5 separate regions of the Mus musculus genome follow, and all the other regions are reported to be linked to region 1. The links are microRNA targets in miRTarBase. Many come from high-throughput screens and were not tested one by one. Region 1 holds a microRNA gene; each other region holds the end of a gene's coding sequence.
Evidence for each region. The annotated mature microRNA mmu-miR-204-5p reads UUCCCUUUGUCAUCCUAUGCCU and lies in region 1 at 2,254-2,275, shown strand. An mRNA with a match to its seed (bases 2 to 7 or 8) in the 3' UTR can be bound and repressed. Matches are read on the target gene's strand: a 7mer-m8 pairs with bases 2 to 8, a 7mer-A1 pairs with bases 2 to 7 and ends in A, and an 8mer does both.

Region 2: miRTarBase lists Ppm1k as a target of mmu-miR-204-5p. Seed matches in the 3' UTR shown: 7mer-m8 at 1,353-1,359 and 8mer at 2,055-2,062.
Region 3: miRTarBase lists Il21 as a target of mmu-miR-204-5p. Seed matches in the 3' UTR shown: 8mer at 3,012-3,019.
Region 4: the mRNA of Lhfpl4 is a reported target of mmu-miR-204-5p. Seed matches in the 3' UTR shown: 7mer-m8 at 2,543-2,549.
Region 5: the mRNA of Mmp9 is a reported target of mmu-miR-204-5p. The part of its 3' UTR that is shown has no 7-base or 8-base seed match.

The regions. Positions count from the first base shown.
Region 1 is chr19:22,748,357-22,751,894 of GRCm38, forward strand. Mir204 (microRNA 204) reads left to right here and starts at 2,249; the gene lies at 2,249-2,316. The region is part of intron 6 of Trpm3 (transient receptor potential cation channel, subfamily M, member 3); the gene reads left to right.
Region 2 is chr6:57,507,872-57,511,409 of GRCm38, reverse strand. It overlaps Ppm1k (protein phosphatase 1K (PP2C domain containing)), which reads left to right. Exons shown (of 7, transcript NM_175523.5): 7 at 561-3,538. The coding sequence ends at 692. Among named protein-coding and RNA genes, the nearest start is that of Ppm1k, 26 kb to the left of the region's middle.
Region 3 is chr3:37,222,635-37,226,172 of GRCm38, reverse strand. Il21 (interleukin 21) reads left to right here. Exons shown (of 5, transcript NM_021782.3): 4 at 647-724; 5 at 813-3,414. The coding sequence ends at 836. Gm36168 (a long non-coding RNA gene) reads right to left here and starts at 1,776. Exons shown (of 4, transcript XR_389693.2): 1 at 1,685-1,776; 2 at 733-940.
Region 4 is chr6:113,168,671-113,172,208 of GRCm38, reverse strand. Lhfpl4 (lipoma HMGIC fusion partner-like protein 4) reads left to right here. Exons shown (of 4, transcript NM_177763.3): 4 at 251-3,538. The coding sequence ends at 351. Among named protein-coding and RNA genes, the nearest start is that of Lhfpl4, 25 kb to the left of the region's middle.
Region 5 is chr2:164,954,366-164,957,903 of GRCm38, forward strand. It overlaps Mmp9 (matrix metallopeptidase 9), which reads left to right. Exons shown (of 13, transcript NM_013599.4): 13 at 408-1,485. The coding sequence ends at 541. Among named protein-coding and RNA genes, the nearest start is that of Mmp9, 7.9 kb to the left of the region's middle.

The sequences.
Region 1 (3,538 bases):
GCCAGATTTATTCAACTTTATTATTTATTTGTTTATTGCTCAGTTCCTTACCCCAATACAAGAAATATTGGGGCTTGTATGGTTGCTACCTATTAGAAGCTTTGCTTACAGTATTTAGCAAGTGGTCTGATTGCCACACACAGAGTATATTCTTATGAGCTTAATTGTCCTCAGAAGTAAACTAATTATGGACACTCTGGGAAATCTACTGTCACTACTCTTGGATTGTTACTTTATGAACAATAGAGAAGCCAAAGAAAGTGACCCCATGTACTGCAGGATGCTGCATGTCCGGTGCTTTGAGGGCTAGTCCTCCATGGTTCTCTCAACGCACTCACTGTTTCAACAACGAACCTTTATCATCTCATAGGCCTGAGGAAGGGCTCAGTGGTGACCCATGAAAACGGGCATAATGCTTCTCACCAGCCATCTGCCCTTGCTCAGTCTGTGGTCCCAACAAATGCCACTAACTGGGGCTTCTCTAGAAATCTAGCTCAGTCCTAAAAAGCTGGGGTCATAAGTTTCACCATGAGGGTCTGCAGTTCGACTAAATTCTGTTCTGATGCTGCAAAGACCACCAGGAAGGCAAGTGCAGACTCGTTTCCTTTGGCTCAGATTGAGTAGCAGGTGTTTTTTGCACCAGCTAGACAAAAGCTGGCTTGGTTCCCCAGTGAGCAGCTCCCAGACAGGGTCTTACCTGTGAATGTCTTTCCCGTGAGGGAGGCAGCAAAACCAGCTAGAGGGGAAATCTAACACACTGCAATAGCTTTGATGACTGTTAAAGAAAAAGAGAGGGAGTGTTGGGGAGACAGATACCCCTCTGGCTAGCCAATGAGCGAGCGAGAAAAGAGCAGAATGAAAATCTTAAGTAAATATCATTGTTATTGTTTAGTAGCAAATCAAATAGGTTATCGTGTAACCAGCTAGTATTTTAATTCACACGTAGCTAGTCATTTAACAATGAAAGGTATGTGTTTCAAACAAACAAAGAAACAAACAAAAGTCGCAGAAACGTTTCTAAAAAGAAGACAGGCATGAAGTTGGTTCTTGTTGTCCTGGAAGACACCAAGCTGAAAGAATTGTAGTTATTCTATGTAACAGGCCAGCAAGCACGGCTTCTGGGTTTTACCAGTGCTAAGCACTGGAACAAGCACTCAGTCCCTTCATCTCCCATATCTGTCTTAGATTAAAACATAATAAAATATGTTTCCTTCAAGAGAAGGGATGTTGATCTTATGAATCTGCTTGTGTTTGGTTTTGAGAAGTCTGTGTGATTCTTTGCACAGCTCTATGTGTGCAGTATGGGTTCAGTCACACACAGAGACTTATACAAATTGGGTGGTCCATCTGCTTTAATAAAATGTGTATCCGACCATTGGGTTGTAGAAATTTCAAAGCTTTTGTTTTTTGACAGGATGCCTGCCGTTTTTCTCTCTTGACTCCCGCTTGTTTTATTCATTTTGGGGTAGTTGCCAATTAGACCCAATTGGTAAGTATAATTAACAAAAATCTTGAATTTCCTCTTAAACCCCAACCAAGAAAATTAACCATAGATGCTATAATTTCCTTTAAAAAATTCCTAACCACATCACTCTTCTGACTGCTGCTTATCTCTTCTGAGACATCCATTCCCATCAGACTTTATTGATTCCTTTTTACCTGTTACCCTGGAGATGCCACCTAGGACAGGATAGCAGCATCCTAAATATGACTAGAAGAAAGGAGGATTTATTCAAGTTCCAGATACTATGTAAGGTATCACCATATAAACTGTCTCTTTTAATACTTGACAAATTCATTCAAGGTAGAAATTGCATAGCTTTATTGTAGTTATAAAATGATATCTCAGATAAGTTATGCCTTTAATATTATGTCCACCTACTTAGGCACCTGAGTACATACCTAGTCAGATGTAACTCCCAAACCTTTACTACCCCTTCCATCCACGTACAAAGCATTAGCTCCCTTAAGAGAAGACTCGCTAAAACTTGGCTACCTTTGAAAGCTTATGGGCATTGCTTCATTCAGCACCTAGTTGAGGACTCACTCTGTTCAGGACTTGGCTAAGCATTGCTTTGAACAAAATATCAAACAAGGACTCAAGGGGCAGAGAATGCTGGTCAGTGGCTAAGATGCCGGAGAATCAAGATGAGCAGGAAATGAAGAGGTTGGCTAAGAGGGGCAGAGGAGGCAGGCGGAGGAGCTCCTGACCGTGTACCATGGCTACAGTCCTTCTTCATGTGACTCGTGGACTTCCCTTTGTCATCCTATGCCTGAGAATATATGAAGGAGGCTGGGAAGGCAAAGGGACGTTCAATTGTCATCACTGGCATCTTTTTTGATCATTACACCATCATCAAAAGCATTTGGATAACCATAACATGAAAATTACCATCATTGAGCCCATAACTTTCCTAAGACAAGGGTGACAATTTGAAACATCAAAGAACCTTACCCAGGGAATTCAAGAAGTGAGAAGAGTGAATCAGATTCTCCCAGATTAACAACCCCATGTTCAAATTCTAACTGGTAAAGGAAACTGAGCTTCCTCTGAACAGGTTGTAATGTATATCAAGAACATCCTACTACCTTCTGTGGATGCTCTAAACTGTTTAGCCCAATCATACAGACATTCTTCTGTCTCAACCAAAGACCAACACTGAGTGCAATCATAAATACCAAAGTCATGGGCAGTTACTGGGGTATGTGATGACTATGTCATTTTTCAAATGCTCTCAACTGCATTGAATAACTGTTCAAATTATTCAAATTTTCCTCTGTCTTTTAGATGGCCTTCCATCTAAAGCAGCAGCTCTCAACCTGTGTGTCATGACCCCTTTGGCTAATGTTGTCTCCAAAAATATTTACATTATGATTAATAGCAGAAGTAAAATTACAGTTATGAAGTAACAATGAAAATAATTTTATAGTTGGGGGTCACCACAACATGAGGAACTGAATTAAAGGGTCACAGCATTAGGAAGGTTGAGAACCACTGCTCTAAAGAAAGATTTGTATTGAAAAAAATCTTAGCTCTCTATTTGGTGAAATGACTTGGCACAAGTTGTTTGTGTGTGTGTAAAACATTAGCCATCCTTGTTAATTAAAACACACTTTGAAAATCAAGACAATGAAGTCAAAACAACTTTGGGGAATAGAAGAAAATTTAAGGAAAATGGTTTCTTGGTGTTGGCCTGTCTTGTTCATCCAACCCTTGTCCAATCAAGCCAGGATCCCTCTCTTTTTGAGAAAAGGACCTTTTCACTTTGGAATTACTTATTCAGGGATGGGGCAGTTCTTTTAAGCAAGTCTGACTAGGTCATCTGCCTGGCATTCAAATATGATCTCCTAGATACTGCTCCATGGAGTTAAGAACTGTGAAAATTCTTTGCAGATTAGAAAGACTTAGGTTGGAAATAATTTAGACTTTTGTCCTCAAGATCAGTAAAACGTCCTGCTGGTGGTCCGTTAAAGTAGATTCTTTTCAGGGTAACAGGACTTTTCCAGTGGGACTTGGTTCCCTTCTTGTTTCCTTGCT
Region 2 (3,538 bases), not on the chromosome of region 1:
CTGCAGGCAATTTCATTTATTTCCACTTTCCCATTGAAGAAGGAATATTAAAAACATTTTTGTTATAACCTTGTACATACCCATTTCTGAGGTTTTAAATGTTAAGGTAGCTTATACAGTGGTAGGTTTCTAGCCGCACTTTCATACAAAGATGTTCCTATATTTTGTTCCTTTTTATCCCTCACCCAATCTCTTCCATTTCTTGGGCTATACTCCTACCAGCAGTTTCATTGGTAAGAATCAGCATTTATTAAGGCTTGCCCATAATTGGTACCATGCTAAGGGCTTTGGGTGTGTCCTCACTGGGAGCACAGGTAATTTCTATTGCCAAGATTGCTACAGTGGAGCATAGGATATAGTTGAACCATCTGAAATTCATATGCACTTAATAACCATATGGCACATGGTTACAGGGTGAAACCATTCCAAACCTTGTTAGGTAGTTACATTTGTATCGTAAAGTGTGTGTAGAACCAGTTGGCCTTCCAGAGAAAGGATGCTGTGTGATTGCACAAGGTCCCTTGACTCCAGCGCCTGTCTCTTCTTCCCCACTCCTGCAGGCAATACAGTACGGTACCGAAGACAACAGCACTGCAGTAGTGGTGCCCTTTGGTGCTTGGGGAAAATACAAGAACTCTGAAATTACCTTCTCATTCAGCAGAAGCTTTGCCTCCAGTGGGAGATGGGCCTGATCGACAGCTCAGACTCGGAGTTCCTATGCAGCAGTGTCAGTGGGCTTATCAAGAAACTGGTAACACACAGAAGGCCACCTGTACCCGTGTGTCATTGTGACTGATCGATCCTAACAGTATAAGCTTACCAGCCACATACCCAGTAGTATTTTCATAAATCCTCATCATCATTATGGTCAACTGCACATGCTCAGTGTAAGCATCATAACACAGCTGTGAAGCCGCTGTGCATCTCTGAGCTGAATGGGAGAAGAAGCGGTTTTGGTCCATTTGATGAGTGATGAATCTGTGTTTCCTTTGTAAGGCTAGAGATTGAATCTGGGGCTTTCTAAGTTTTTAAGACTAAGAGGCAGATTTAGTTTCTTTTTAGTAAGTTTGTTCTTTATTCAGTTGGACAGGTATTTTTTTTTTTGAATTTTGATAGCTGGTCAATGTGTTATTTGCAAGTGTTCCTTTTTCCTTTCTCTGTAGAAAGCAGGTTTTCACTGGCTGACCTTGAACTCCTGGGTTCAAATGGTCTTCCTAACGTCAGCTTCCTGAGTACCTTTTAATTTTTTTTTTTTTAAAGCAGAACAAGCATATTTTTTCCCAAGAAGAGTGAGAACATATACCTAGGAGATGGGGGCATTCCAAGGGAGGGATACAAGGGATATAAGAGATAAAGGGATACAAGGTACATTTTAATAAATGTACCTAGGAGTTATAATAAAGCCTAGGTTCTCTATGACTGAATAGTGTACTCTGGATCACTTATTAGTAAATTTAACCCTGCAAAATACATGGCTAAAGTGTATACATATTTATAAATAGCTCTCTTGTGTATTTTAAATATTTTTAGCACTTCCCCATCCATTTCTATTTTTGTGGAGTTAAATATGCTATATATTGGTAACTGTTCGGTAAGCTCCAGAGAAGAATATTCTGAGGCTTTGGTCAAAATCTGTAAAGTGAAACACTGACAGTGCCAATCTTGTGTAAGTTTGTTGCTGTGTGGTTTGTATGTAGCGTTTTTATACCACTTTCTGTGCACACAGTAAGCGAGTTGGGGCCTTTGTTAGTAAAGATAATATTACAATGACTTATACTGCTATAGACATAGCTTGGGGTTTATGTCTCCAATTTCCTCATTTCTAAGATTCATGCGGAAAAAAAAATCTTTTACAAAGGATATTCAAACATGTCAGCTTGCTATGTAAATTAGGGGTGTAAAACCACACTCCTTTTTACCTGCATATAAAATTACTGTCAAACTGTGAATCCCTGAATGTGTGCTTGTAGTTAATCTATATTTTCACAGGGTAATTTAAATTTAGTATATGTGCAGTGAGTGTATATATGTATATTTTGAAGTAATATAAAATTAAAGGGAACAATCTTGTGGCGCATTTATCAGCTAGCTGTAAATTATTGATATATTTATCTCTAAGGACACTCAATAACATTGAGTGTCAAATTCTCTGTAATAAAGATTCAGTTGTTACTGGTAGATAACCACTATGGATTACAAATAAATATGGGGGCCAGTATTGGTGGCCTCTACCTATAATCTCAGGACTTAAGGAGGAGACAAGAGAATCGGGATGGTAACTTTGAAATTAGCCTGAGCTACAGAGCAAGTTCCACGGTAGCCTGAGCCACAGCTTGTCTCCCCGAACAAAGTATCAGCAACAAATGGCTGTAAGAGACATTTTATTAGGTGTCACGTATGTGGATAACCAAAGAACAGAGGCAGACATATCGTTGTGTGGTAATTCGAATATAAAGTTATGGGATATGAGAAGAACAGGAAATGTCAAAAGTGACTTGGAATTTTATGGCAGAAAACAAAGGAAAAATAATGAAATATATATACCTTCAAGTCTGACATGTTTTCTGCCTTTAACTTTTGTTTAAAATATTTAGTAGAAATAAAGAATAAGTTCTCAATAAAGAATTTAAGGGGGCTGGTGAGATGGCTCAGTGGTTAGGAGCACCCGACTGCTCTTCCGAAGGTCCAGAGTTCAAATCCCAGCAACCACATGGTGGCTCACAACCATCCGTAACAAGATCTGACTCCCTCTTCTGGTGTGTCTGAAGACAGCTACAGTGTACTTACATATAATAATAAATAAATCTTTAAAAACTAAAATTAAATTAAATTAAAAAAAAAAGAATTTAAGGTCTTTTCATGGATGTCAGTTGAAAGAAACAATGCTTTTCCAGACATGTTAGCTTACATGTGCAGTTCCAACATCTGGGGAGGCTGGGGCACAGTCATCCTGAATAGCAAGAGCCCAGGTCAAGGGACAAAATACACGGAAGAGAGTAGAGGACGTGCTCACTGTCCGAGGAAGAATGGGGAGACTAGCAGAGCTTAAAGGCCTTCTTGTTGAGTCTGGTGTTGAAAAGTTATGAAAACAACGTGTTTGTTTGTTTGTTTGTTTGTTTTTTTGTTTGTTTTTTGGTTTTGGTGTTTTTTTTTTTTGGTGTTTTTTTTTTTTTTTTTTTTGGTTTTTCAAGACAGGGTTTCTCTGTGTAGCCCTGGCTGTCCTGGAACTCACTTTGTAGACCAGGCTGGCCTTGAACTCAGAAATCTGCCTGCCTCTGCCTCCCAAGTACTGGAATTAAAGGCATGTGCCACCACATCCTGGCTTGAAAACAACTTTTAAGAGTATGGAGAACTTGTAAACTAATATGCACAACAAAATTCTCAAACATTAAAAATGACAACGTGGTGTGTCTTATTTGTTTCTGTTTTGTGTTCTTCACATTGCTGGTCTCCCTCCCCCCTTTACTTTGAAACTAGGATTGAGAATGACCTTGTGATGTTCAGAGGTTTGAGGGTCATTCATAGATGAAGGCGAGTT
Region 3 (3,538 bases), not on the chromosome of region 1:
TGCCCAATAGTGGTAAGACTCGTCGAAGCACAAAGAGGAAACATGTTTTATGATATATAGTCCTTGAGGTATTTATCCCTTTAATCTACTTGATAAGATCTAGAAATTTGATATATATGAAAAAATTATCTGCCCAGGTGATCTCTATAGACTTGTACATAAAAGCTAGATACCACTTCTGTATCTAAAAATAGTAAGTGCTCCATCTGTGCAGGGTGGGGGTGGGTGGGAGGGGGAGCGACAGAGCAGCCACCACAAATCCTGCCCTGAAAGCATATCTAAAGCCCAGGAAACCCTTGTAATTGGTTAAAAACTAACAGCAAACAGCATATAACAACCAGGGTAACAAGAATGCAGAGGAGGAGGAGGGCGAGGAAGAGGAAGAGGAAGAAAGGGGACAAAAAACGGATATAATAATTTAAACACCAAAATATTCAGAGTTGTCTCTGAGGATAAAATCACACGTGGTTTCCAGAACAATTTTACAGAATTTTCCTAATGCTTGTTACTGAATATGATTTATGTTCACAAGAGAAGAAATGAATTTTACATAAGTATTTTATGAAGTATGAAGTTAGTTCTTAAAAAATAATTTTTAAAGTTTTAAAATTAATTAATTAATTAATTGATTAATTTTGATTTACAGAAATGCCCTTCCTGTGATTCGTATGAGAAAAGGACACCCAAAGAATTCCTAGAAAGACTAAAATGGCTCCTTCAAAAGGTATGCACCTTAAATGCATTTCTTTCACTTCCATGTTGTGTCCGGGTACCTCCTGTGCCCAGTGACTCATAGGCTCTCGTTCCCACAGATGATTCATCAGCATCTCTCCTAGAACACATAGGACCCGAAGATTCCTGAGGATCCGAGAAGATTCCCGAGGACTGAGGAGACGCCGGACACTATAGACGCTCACGAATGCAGGAGTACATCTTGCCTCTTGGGATTGCAAGTGGAGAAGTACGATACGTTATGATAAGAACAACTCAGAAAAGCTATAGGTTAAGATCCTTTCGCCCATTAACTAAGCAGACATTGTGGTTCCCTGCACAGACTCCATGCTGTCAACATGGAAAATCTCAACTCAACAAGAGCCCAGCTTCCCGTGTCAGGGATTTCTGGTGCTTCTCAAGCTGTGGCTTCATCTTATTGCCCAACTGTGACATTCTTTGATTGGAAGGGGAAAACTAAAGCTTTTAGCAAAAATACAGCTAGGGAATTTGTCGATCTGCGAGAGTAAGACCTCTTATGATCCTAACGGAATGATGTAAGCTGGAAATAATAAGCATAAGATGAAATTGAAAATTGAAGTCTTTATTCTTTAAGAAAAACTTTGTACTTGAAAGCATGTCTGAAGAGTTTACTCATTACCACAAACATCTAGCATATTGATAACTAACATCTTTATACTCTACAAGAGAGGCTTTCCAGATAGGTACAGTTTTTCTTCTCTATTAGGTCTATCAAAATTTAACCTATTATGAGGGTCACCCCTGGCTTTCACTGTTTTTCTAAAGAGGCAAGGGTGTAGTAAGAAGCAGGCTTAAGTTGCCTTCCTCCCAATGTCAAGTTCCTTTATAAGCTAATAGTTTAATCTTGTGAAGATGGCAATGAAAGCCTGTGGAAGTGCAAACCTCACTATCTTCTGGAGCCAAGTAGAATTTTCAAGTTTGTAGCTCTCACCTCAAGTGGTTATGGGTGTCCTGTGATGAATCTGCTAGCTCCAGCCTCAGTCTCCTCTCCCACATCCTTTCCTTTCTTTCCTCTTTGAAACTTCTAAGAAAAAGCAATCCAAACAAGTTCAGCACTTAAGACACATTGCATGCACACTTTTGATAAGTTAAATCCAACCATCTATTTAAAATCAAAATCAGGAGATGAGCCAAGAGACCAGAGGTTCTGTTCCAGTTTTAAACAGACTTTTACTGAACATCCCAATCTTTTAACCACAGAGGCTAAATTGAGCAAATAGTTTTGCCATTTGATATAATTTCCAACAGTATGTTTCAATGTCAAGTTAAAAAGTCTACAAAGCTATTTTCCCTGGAGTGGTATCATCGCTTTGAGAATTTCTTATGGTTAAAATGGATCTGAGATCCAAGCATGGCCTGGGGGATGGTTTTGATCTAAGGAAAAAGGTGTCTGTACCTCACAGTGCCTTTAAAACAAGCAGAGATCCCGTGTACCGCCCTAAGATAGCACAGACTAGTGTTAACTGATTCCCAGAAAAGTGTCACAATCAGAACCAACGCATTCTCTTAAACTTTAAAAATATGTATTGCAAAGAACTTGTGTAACTGTAAATGTGTGACTGTTGATGACATTATACACACATAGCCCACGTAAGTGTCCAATGGTGCTAGCATTGGTTGCTGAGTTTGCTGCTCGAAAGCTGAAGCAGAGATGCAGTCCTTCACAAAGCAATGATGGACAGAGAGGGGAGTCTCCATGTTTTATTCTTTTGTTGTTTCTGGCTGTGTAACTGTTGACTTCTTGACATTGTGATTTTTATATTTAAGACAATGTATTTATTTTGGTGTGTTTATTGTTCTAGCCTTTTAAATCACTGACAATTTCTAATCAAGAAGTACAAATAATTCAATGCAGCACAGGCTAAGAGCTTGTATCGTTTGGAAAAGCCAGTGAAGGCTTCTCCACTAGCCATGGGAAAGCTACGCTTTAGAGTAAACTAGACAAAATTGCACAGCAGTCTTGAACCTCTCTGTGCTCAAGACTCAGCCAGTCCTTTGACATTATTGTTCACTGTGGGTGGGAACACATTGGACCTGACACACTGTTGTGTGTCCATGAAGGTTGCCACTGGTGTAAGCTTTTTTTGGTTTTCATTCTCTTATCTGTAGAACAAGAATGTGGGGCTTTCCTAAGTCTATTCTGTATTTTATTCTGAACTTCGTATGTCTGAGTTTTAATGTTTTGAGTACTCTTACAGGAACACCTGACCACACTTTTGAGTTAAATTTTATCCCAAGTGTGATATTTAGTTGTTCAAAAAGGGAAGGGATATACATACATACATACATACATACATACATATATATATATATATATACATATATATATATATATATATGTATATATATATATATATAGAGAGAGAGAGAGAGAGAGAGAGAGAAAGAGAGAGAGGTTGTTGTAGGTCATAGGAGTTCAGAGGAAATCAGTTATGGCCGTTAATACTGTAGCTGAAAGTGTTTTCTTTGTGAATAAATTCATAGCATTATTGATCTATGTTATTGCTCTGTTTTATTTACAGTCACACCTGAGAATTTAGTTTTAATATGAATGATGTACTTTATAACTTAATGATTATTTATTATGTATTTGGTTTTGAATGTTTGTGTTCATGGCTTCTTATTTAAGACCTGATCATATTAAATGCTACCCAGTCAGAACAACTGTCTGTTGTGATTCTCTGAATGTCCTTAATGCAACCAACCTGGTAGAAAAGGTGGGTGCATAGGTTTTATATGGCTACAGCACAGATGTTTACTTCTTATTGACTGCCACTAAGATAGA
Region 4 (3,538 bases), not on the chromosome of region 1:
TATGACCTTTCAGAATGGCCCTGTGGAGTGGGAGAGGGTCTTTATTTCACACATGACAGCTAATGGGTTACATGGTGTGCTTAAGGCTGACCTGTCATTCAAGGACTTGGTTCTAGTCACTTCTGGCCATTTGTGTCTTGGGGAGTGGCTGAGGGGGCAGCTGGGACCTCACAGGCTCTAACATTCTCCCTCTTCCTCTCCCTCCCCTTCCCCCTCTCTCTTTCTCCCCTCCCCTCCCTTCCTCCCACAGATTTCGTGGGCACTACAGTAAGTTCCGTGCTGCGGCCAGGAGGTGATGTGTCTGGCTGGGGAGTCCTACCATGCCCTGTTGCTCACACACAGGGACCCTGAAAGCCGGGATTTTATAGCCCAGGAGTTGGCCTGACCTCAGCATATCCCGTCTGCTGCCCTCTCATTCCTGCGTTCAAGCTCCAGACCCAAATCTTGAACTGGCTGCACACGGACCTCCTCCGGGCTCTGAAGAGAGGCAGGGGCTAGGTGGCAGCCTGGCAAGAAGGCAGAGCCCTTGAGATCCTGAGTCTGGCCCCGCCTCCATTGGACCTAGTGGAGCCTGGGCCTCCCTCTTTGGTCCCTCGGTTTCCTTCTCTCCTGTGTAGACTAGCTGGAGGTCCCTGGGGATCCCCAGGGAAAGGACGCTCTGCCGCGCAATCTCCTTGGACCCCTTCAGTGTGCAGGGCTGCCTGCTGCGTCCTTGCCTGCCGGTCCTGATCGCCTAAAGAGACTTACTCAACACACTGCCCCAGGAGGGCCAGACTCTTTCCTACTTTATTTTTATTCGCTGATGATGGTCCCACCACATCTGCCACAAAGCTCCAGGTGCCACCAGCCCCCCAACGGGGCCTCCTCTGCCTCCCTCATTCAAGCCTGCACCCAGCTCTCAAAAGAATCTGAGCCGTGCTGAGGGGGAAAGGATAGGGTCTTCCTTCCTGCTGCTGGTAGTCCTTCATCACCTCAGAGTCTGAGGGGGAGACACGGGCTCTGGAGGCTGTGGGAGGAGGAAGCTAGTTCCAGCCTGAGGCTGGCCTGGCCTCTTCCCTACTGGGATATCTCACTGGTGACTGGCCCCTCGAGCCTGGCCTGTTTTGTACAGCATAGACTTCTCAGGCCCATTGTCAGGGTTGGTGGCTGTGGAGAGGGGGCACAGAGGTGGGGACTTAGGGGTTACCCCTCTCCTTCTCATGCTTCCTACACCCTGGACATCTGCCAAGGGCAGAGACTGTCTTGCGTCTTTGATACTTTTCTGCCTAACTTGAACTTGCAGGTCACCTCTGAACAGGGTACCCTTGTCCCCACCCCAGGCCCTGTTACCCTGTCCCTGCCTCTTTCTCCTCTTTGCCCACTTCTCGCCTTGCGATAAGCCCAGGGTCTGCAACCTCATGGGCAGTGCTTGGAGCTGAGGTAGGTGTGTGTGCATGAGTGTGTGCGTGTATGTGTGTGTATGTGTGTGTATGCGTGTGTATGCGTGAGTATGTGTGTGCGTGTATGTGTGTATGTGTGTGTTTGTGTGTGTGTGCGTGTGTGTATGTGTGTATGTGTGTGTGTGTGTGTGTGTGCGTGTGTATGTGTGTGCATGTATGTATGTATGTGTGTGTTTGTGTGTGCGTGTGTGTGTGTGTGTGTGTGTGTGTGTGTGTGCGTGTGTTAGGAAAGGGCAGATGAGAAGATCTCTCTTCTCCTGCAGTGGGGGGCCCCTCCCTCCCCCTTAGCAGAGAGAAAAACGAGGGAGATTCCAGGTGGTTTTTTGTTGTTGTTGTTGTTGTTGTTTTGTTTTTTATTTTGTTGTAGTTTTTGACCATCTTTGGCTACCTTATGGATCTGGTGGCAGAGCCATCTAATCATAGAAAAGCCTCCAGTTTCCAGTGGAGGGGTGGCAGACGAACGTCATCAAACATAATGTCTCCGAGGACACGGCCTGCTGCCTGGTCCTTGTGTCGAGGAATGTGTGCCTCCTATAGGCTGTCCAGGAGGCGTCTCACTTCCCTGTGTTACATTGGCCTCAGCCAGAGAGGAAGAACGGCTAGTCTATGAGTTTGCTGTCCTTGTGTTCATTTTCAGAGGACTTGGAGCTGAGTTAGGATTCCTGAGCCAGGCCCATGACCCAAGGCTGCCCCAGCAGGACCCTACCTGGAATCTGATGCTGGTTCCTGGCAGAATTCCTGACACTTGGAACGTTCCAGATCCCATCTCCACATTTTCTCCTCTCTCCTCCAGGGTAGACACCTCCTCCTGAGCTTTGGCCACTGCCCTTGTCTTCCCCAGCTCTTGTCCCAACCTGGTCCCTCCCTGGAGCCAGAGTGCTGGAGTCATCTTCAGCAGGTAGCCAGGAGACTGGGAATGGACAGGGAGGGTGGGGGAGCCTTGTCAGAAGGAGAAGGGAGCAGGAAGTCAGATCCTCAGCTTCAAACCAGAGGGGAGGGTCCAGGTAGTGGCGAGAGGGGCAGGAGTGGGTGACTGACTGAGAAGCGGGCAGGAGCAAAGCCGGCGAAGTAAAGATGAGGCAGGAGACAGGCGACAGGCATGGAAAGGGAGGAATGGAGAGAATGGAGAGAGAGAGAGAGAGAGAGAGAGAGAGAGAGAGAGAGAGAGAGAGAGAGAGAGAGAGAGAGATCTGGAGAGGCACACACAACGATGGAGAAGTGAAGAACTAGAATGGGTTTTCCATGGATGGGCAGCAGATGAAGAAACCTGGGAGGTGGGAAATGGAGGGGTAATTCACAGGGAGCAAGAACAAAATGTAGAGAAGAAAGAAGATAGTGGGTATGTGTGTGAAGAGGAAACGCTAGGGATTGAGGAGGGCAGCCATGTGTGTGCTTGGAGAGCCTGTTTTCCTAAGAACACTTGCTGCCCAGGGGGTCCCTTGTGCTTTGGCAGACAGGATAGAATTGACTTCTTGGTGTCTGCGGTAGCTCTGATCCTTTGGAGAGAACTGTGTGTGTACAAGGGACCGAGCAGGCCAGGCTGTGTTAGATAGAGGTGGGCTAATGACAGAGAGGAAGGGCATGAGTTCCCTCTGAGGAGTCGTCTACCAGTGTTCTTGCCACTCTCCAGCCAACCAGCTGCTGCCCAGCGGTGCAGTGTGGAGTTTCAGGCTGGCAGGCTGAGGTCTGCAGTCTGCAGGAGCCCCAGGGTATCGCGGGGAAAGAAGAGAGGGAGCAATGGGAACCAAAATGTGGTCTTGAAGGCTTAGAAGAGTTAGGGACAAAGAAAATGGATGTTTCGGCCAAGAACTCAGGTGAGGCTCTAACTGACCTCCTGGCAGTTGACGTAGGACAGTTAGGGCGGGGAGCTGGTGTTAGCCTTTGGGGAAGGATAGGATATGGACATCAACATCTCTGTTTCTGATCACTAACCAAGAGCTTCCCGTTGTTGGGTCCCTGAAAATCCTCAGCTATTTGTGACTGGATGGAGAGGCTGGTGTTTGGTGTTAGCGGATTTCTTTGCTCTTGACAGAGAGGGGAGAGGAGAAAGCAGTTATAGCTTCAATGGGGTCCAGCCTCTGCTCCAGAGCACTGTTTAG
Region 5 (3,538 bases), not on the chromosome of region 1:
ACTTAAACTGTCACCGGGCTGCCTCTCTTCAGGCAAAGGAGAAGATTTAATTGGGGCTGGCTTACAGGTCAGAGGCTCAGTCCATTATTTTCATGGTGGGAAACGAGGTGGCACACAGGCAAACGTGGTGTTGGAGAGGTAGCTGAGAGCTCTACCTCAGCAGCAGGCAGCAAGAAGAGAGAGACACTGGGCTTGGCGTGAACATCTGAAATCTCAAAGCCCACCCTAGTGACACAGGTCCTCCAATAAGGCCACACCCCCTCCCACCTCATAAGTGCCACTCCCTATGGGCCTATAGGGTCCATTTTCATTCAAACCACCACAGGTGCTTGTAAAAATCTTGTTCCTTTTGTCAATGATGAGGGAGCAGAGGACTCAGCTTTCTTGTGTGTTCTTGTTTCCCGTAGACAAAGCCTATTTCTGCCATGGCAAATTCTTCTGGCGTGTGAGTTTCCAAAATGAGGTGAACAAGGTGGACCATGAGGTGAACCAGGTGGACGACGTGGGCTACGTGACCTACGACCTCCTGCAGTGCCCTTGAACTAGGGCTCCTTCTTTGCTTCAACCGTGCAGTGCAAGTCTCTAGAGACCACCACCACCACCACCACACACAAACCCCATCCGAGGGAAAGGTGCTAGCTGGCCAGGTACAGACTGGTGATCTCTTCTAGAGACTGGGAAGGAGTGGAGGCAGGCAGGGCTCTCTCTGCCCACCGTCCTTTCTTGTTGGACTGTTTCTAATAAACACGGATCCCCAACCTTTTCCAGCTACTTTAGTCAATCAGCTTATCTGTAGTTGCAGATGCATCCGAGCAAGAAGACAACTTTGTAGGGTGGATTCTGACCTTTTATTTTTGTGTGGCGTCTGAGAATTGAATCAGCTGGCTTTTGTGACAGGCACTTCACCGGCTAAACCACCTCTCCCGACTCCAGCCCTTTTATTTATTATGTATGAGGTTATGTTCACATGCATGTATTTAACCCACAGAATGCTTACTGTGTGTCGGGCGCGGCTCCAACCGCTGCATAAATATTAAGGTATTCAGTTGCCCCTACTGGAAGGTATTATGTAACTATTTCTCTCTTACATTGGAGAACACCACCGAGCTATCCACTCATCAAACATTTATTGAGAGCATCCCTAGGGAGCCAGGCTCTCTACTGGGCGTTAGGGACAGAAATGTTGGTTCTTCCTTCAAGGATTGCTCAGAGATTCTCCGTGTCCTGTAAATCTGCTGAAACCAGACCCCAGACTCCTCTCTCTCCCGAGAGTCCAACTCACTCACTGTGGTTGCTGGCAGCTGCAGCATGCGTATACAGCATGTGTGCTAGAGAGGTAGAGGGGGTCTGTGCGTTATGGTTCAGGTCAGACTGTGTCCTCCAGGTGAGATGACCCCTCAGCTGGAACTGATCCAGGAAGGATAACCAAGTGTCTTCCTGGCAGTCTTTTTTAAATAAATGAATAAATGAATATTTACTTATTTATGTGTGTGTGTGTGTGCACATGTGTGCTGATGCCTCAGGAGGCCAGAAGAGGGCGCTGGATCCTTTGGAATTAGAGTTGTGGGCTGTAATGCACTGCCCCAGGCCAATGCTGGGGGCCAAATTCTGATCCCTACAACAGCAGCAAGGGCATTGAAGCTACCTCTCTAGCCAACCATCTCGCCAAACCAGCCTGAAAATGGACACACAGGATGGCGGTCATAGCATTCAAATCCTGAGAAGCTAGCTAGCAATGGGGACACGTGGGGACTTGTGCCCACTGAGGAGAGCCCAACCAGGGTGAGCATGAGGGTGTGTGCTCAGTGAAAGGCTGGAAAGAAGAGGGAGGCTGGGGTGATGTAACTGTGTTCCACCTGAGAAGTCCAAGCAGGAGTCTGGAGTAGCCCAGAGAAACCCCACTAACACCACCAAGCTTATTTGGGGTGCTCCTCTCCCTGCTGGACTCTGTATCTCAGGAATGAGCCACTCCCATCTACACACAAGCATTCCTTAACACGCCTTGTTTAAAACCTCTCTCTGTCCTGACTTGTGGGCCTGTGTCCCGGAGGCTTTCTACGGAGATCTCTGGCCCAGCCTGGTGCGAGAGTTCTGGTGAAGGGAAGCGAGTGTGGGCAGGGAGAGGAGGTCACTTCAGCTGCTTCTGCTGCTGCAGTTGGCTCCACCTCCATCTCTGCTGTGCCTGCCAGATTGCTCAGTTACTCTGCACAGTCCTGCACTGAGTAGGGTCTGGCTGGGCTAATGAGAGACGGACTAGCTAGTGAGGAGTGCGGAGCTTCAGGCAGCATTTTGGGAGAGCAGACCTCTTCCCAAGTGTTACAGCTCTTAGGACAGAAGGCTCAGAGGATGGAGTAGTTCTCGCACACACCTCTGATCCTTCCAGATAGGATTCTTATATACAGTTTTGGGGGTGGGTAAGGGTCTGACAACAGGTACTTCTCATTGGTTTGGTCTGAGAGCTTTGGGGAAACCTTATTTGCATGGGGGAGGGCTTGGTGCTGCTCCTCCGTGACTGATGGCCACATAACTCTTTGTGTGTGTTGGGGGGCAGGCTGTGGGAGGCTGTAGCTACATGACAGGAGCCAGGGACCTGGGAGGCGGGACCAAACACTTCCCATCCCATGCAGGTGGAAATCACCACCCACTGGGTCACTGGGGACCAGGCTGTCTGTGCACAGCCCTCTGCCCCACACTGACTCCCCCGGGGTTACTATCCTGCTTCTCTGGTCCCAGGCCCACGCCCAGTAGAACTTACCCATAGGTGAATCTCACTCCCCTCTCAGCTTCCTTGTTGCTGGCTGTAAACAACGCTCACCACAGGCTCCTGCCTCACAAGGCCACTGGCTCCCGTGTGGCTCCCGTGTGGCTCCCGTGTGGCTCCCGTGCGGCTCCCGTGTGGCTCCCGTGTGGCTCCTGTGCGACTCCCGGTCAGCACAGTGAACACTGTCCCTTCACACACACATGCATGGGACAGTCCACCTTGCTTTCTCCCCAGAAATACTTTGCATACCTCCTGGTTCTTTTCTTCCTCTCTGTAGCCTCTCGTGGGAGCGCACCCTAAGGTTCAATTCTCAGAGTCCTCTTGGGACACTTGTTCCCCTGATCTCACCAAGCAACCTACTCTGAACAGCAAGCATCTCCAGGCAAAAGACTCCAGACTGACATTTCCCAGCTGAGCCTCTCCCCAGAGCCCTAGACTCAGGTTCCTCTGCCTGCTCTTTGTGACCTAATAGGCTTTCCGTCTAAACAGACCGAACTCTCTCCTCTTCCAGCTGTCACCATGCTGTGTGACTGTGGATGCACACATTCATACACAGAGGATGACAGCTCTTAGGAGTTCTTTCTTTCCACAGTGACTACCCAGCAAACACTTTCATATGCTAAACCATCTCATTGCCAGCCCCCACTGTTTAAATACTTCTGGAAGGTGTGTTGTACCTCTTGTGTCTCTTGAATCCCTTTGTTCAACAATGTCTTTGTGAGCTTTGTGCATATTTTGTAAACAATGAATGGCTAATTCTCAGTACTTTACCCAAAT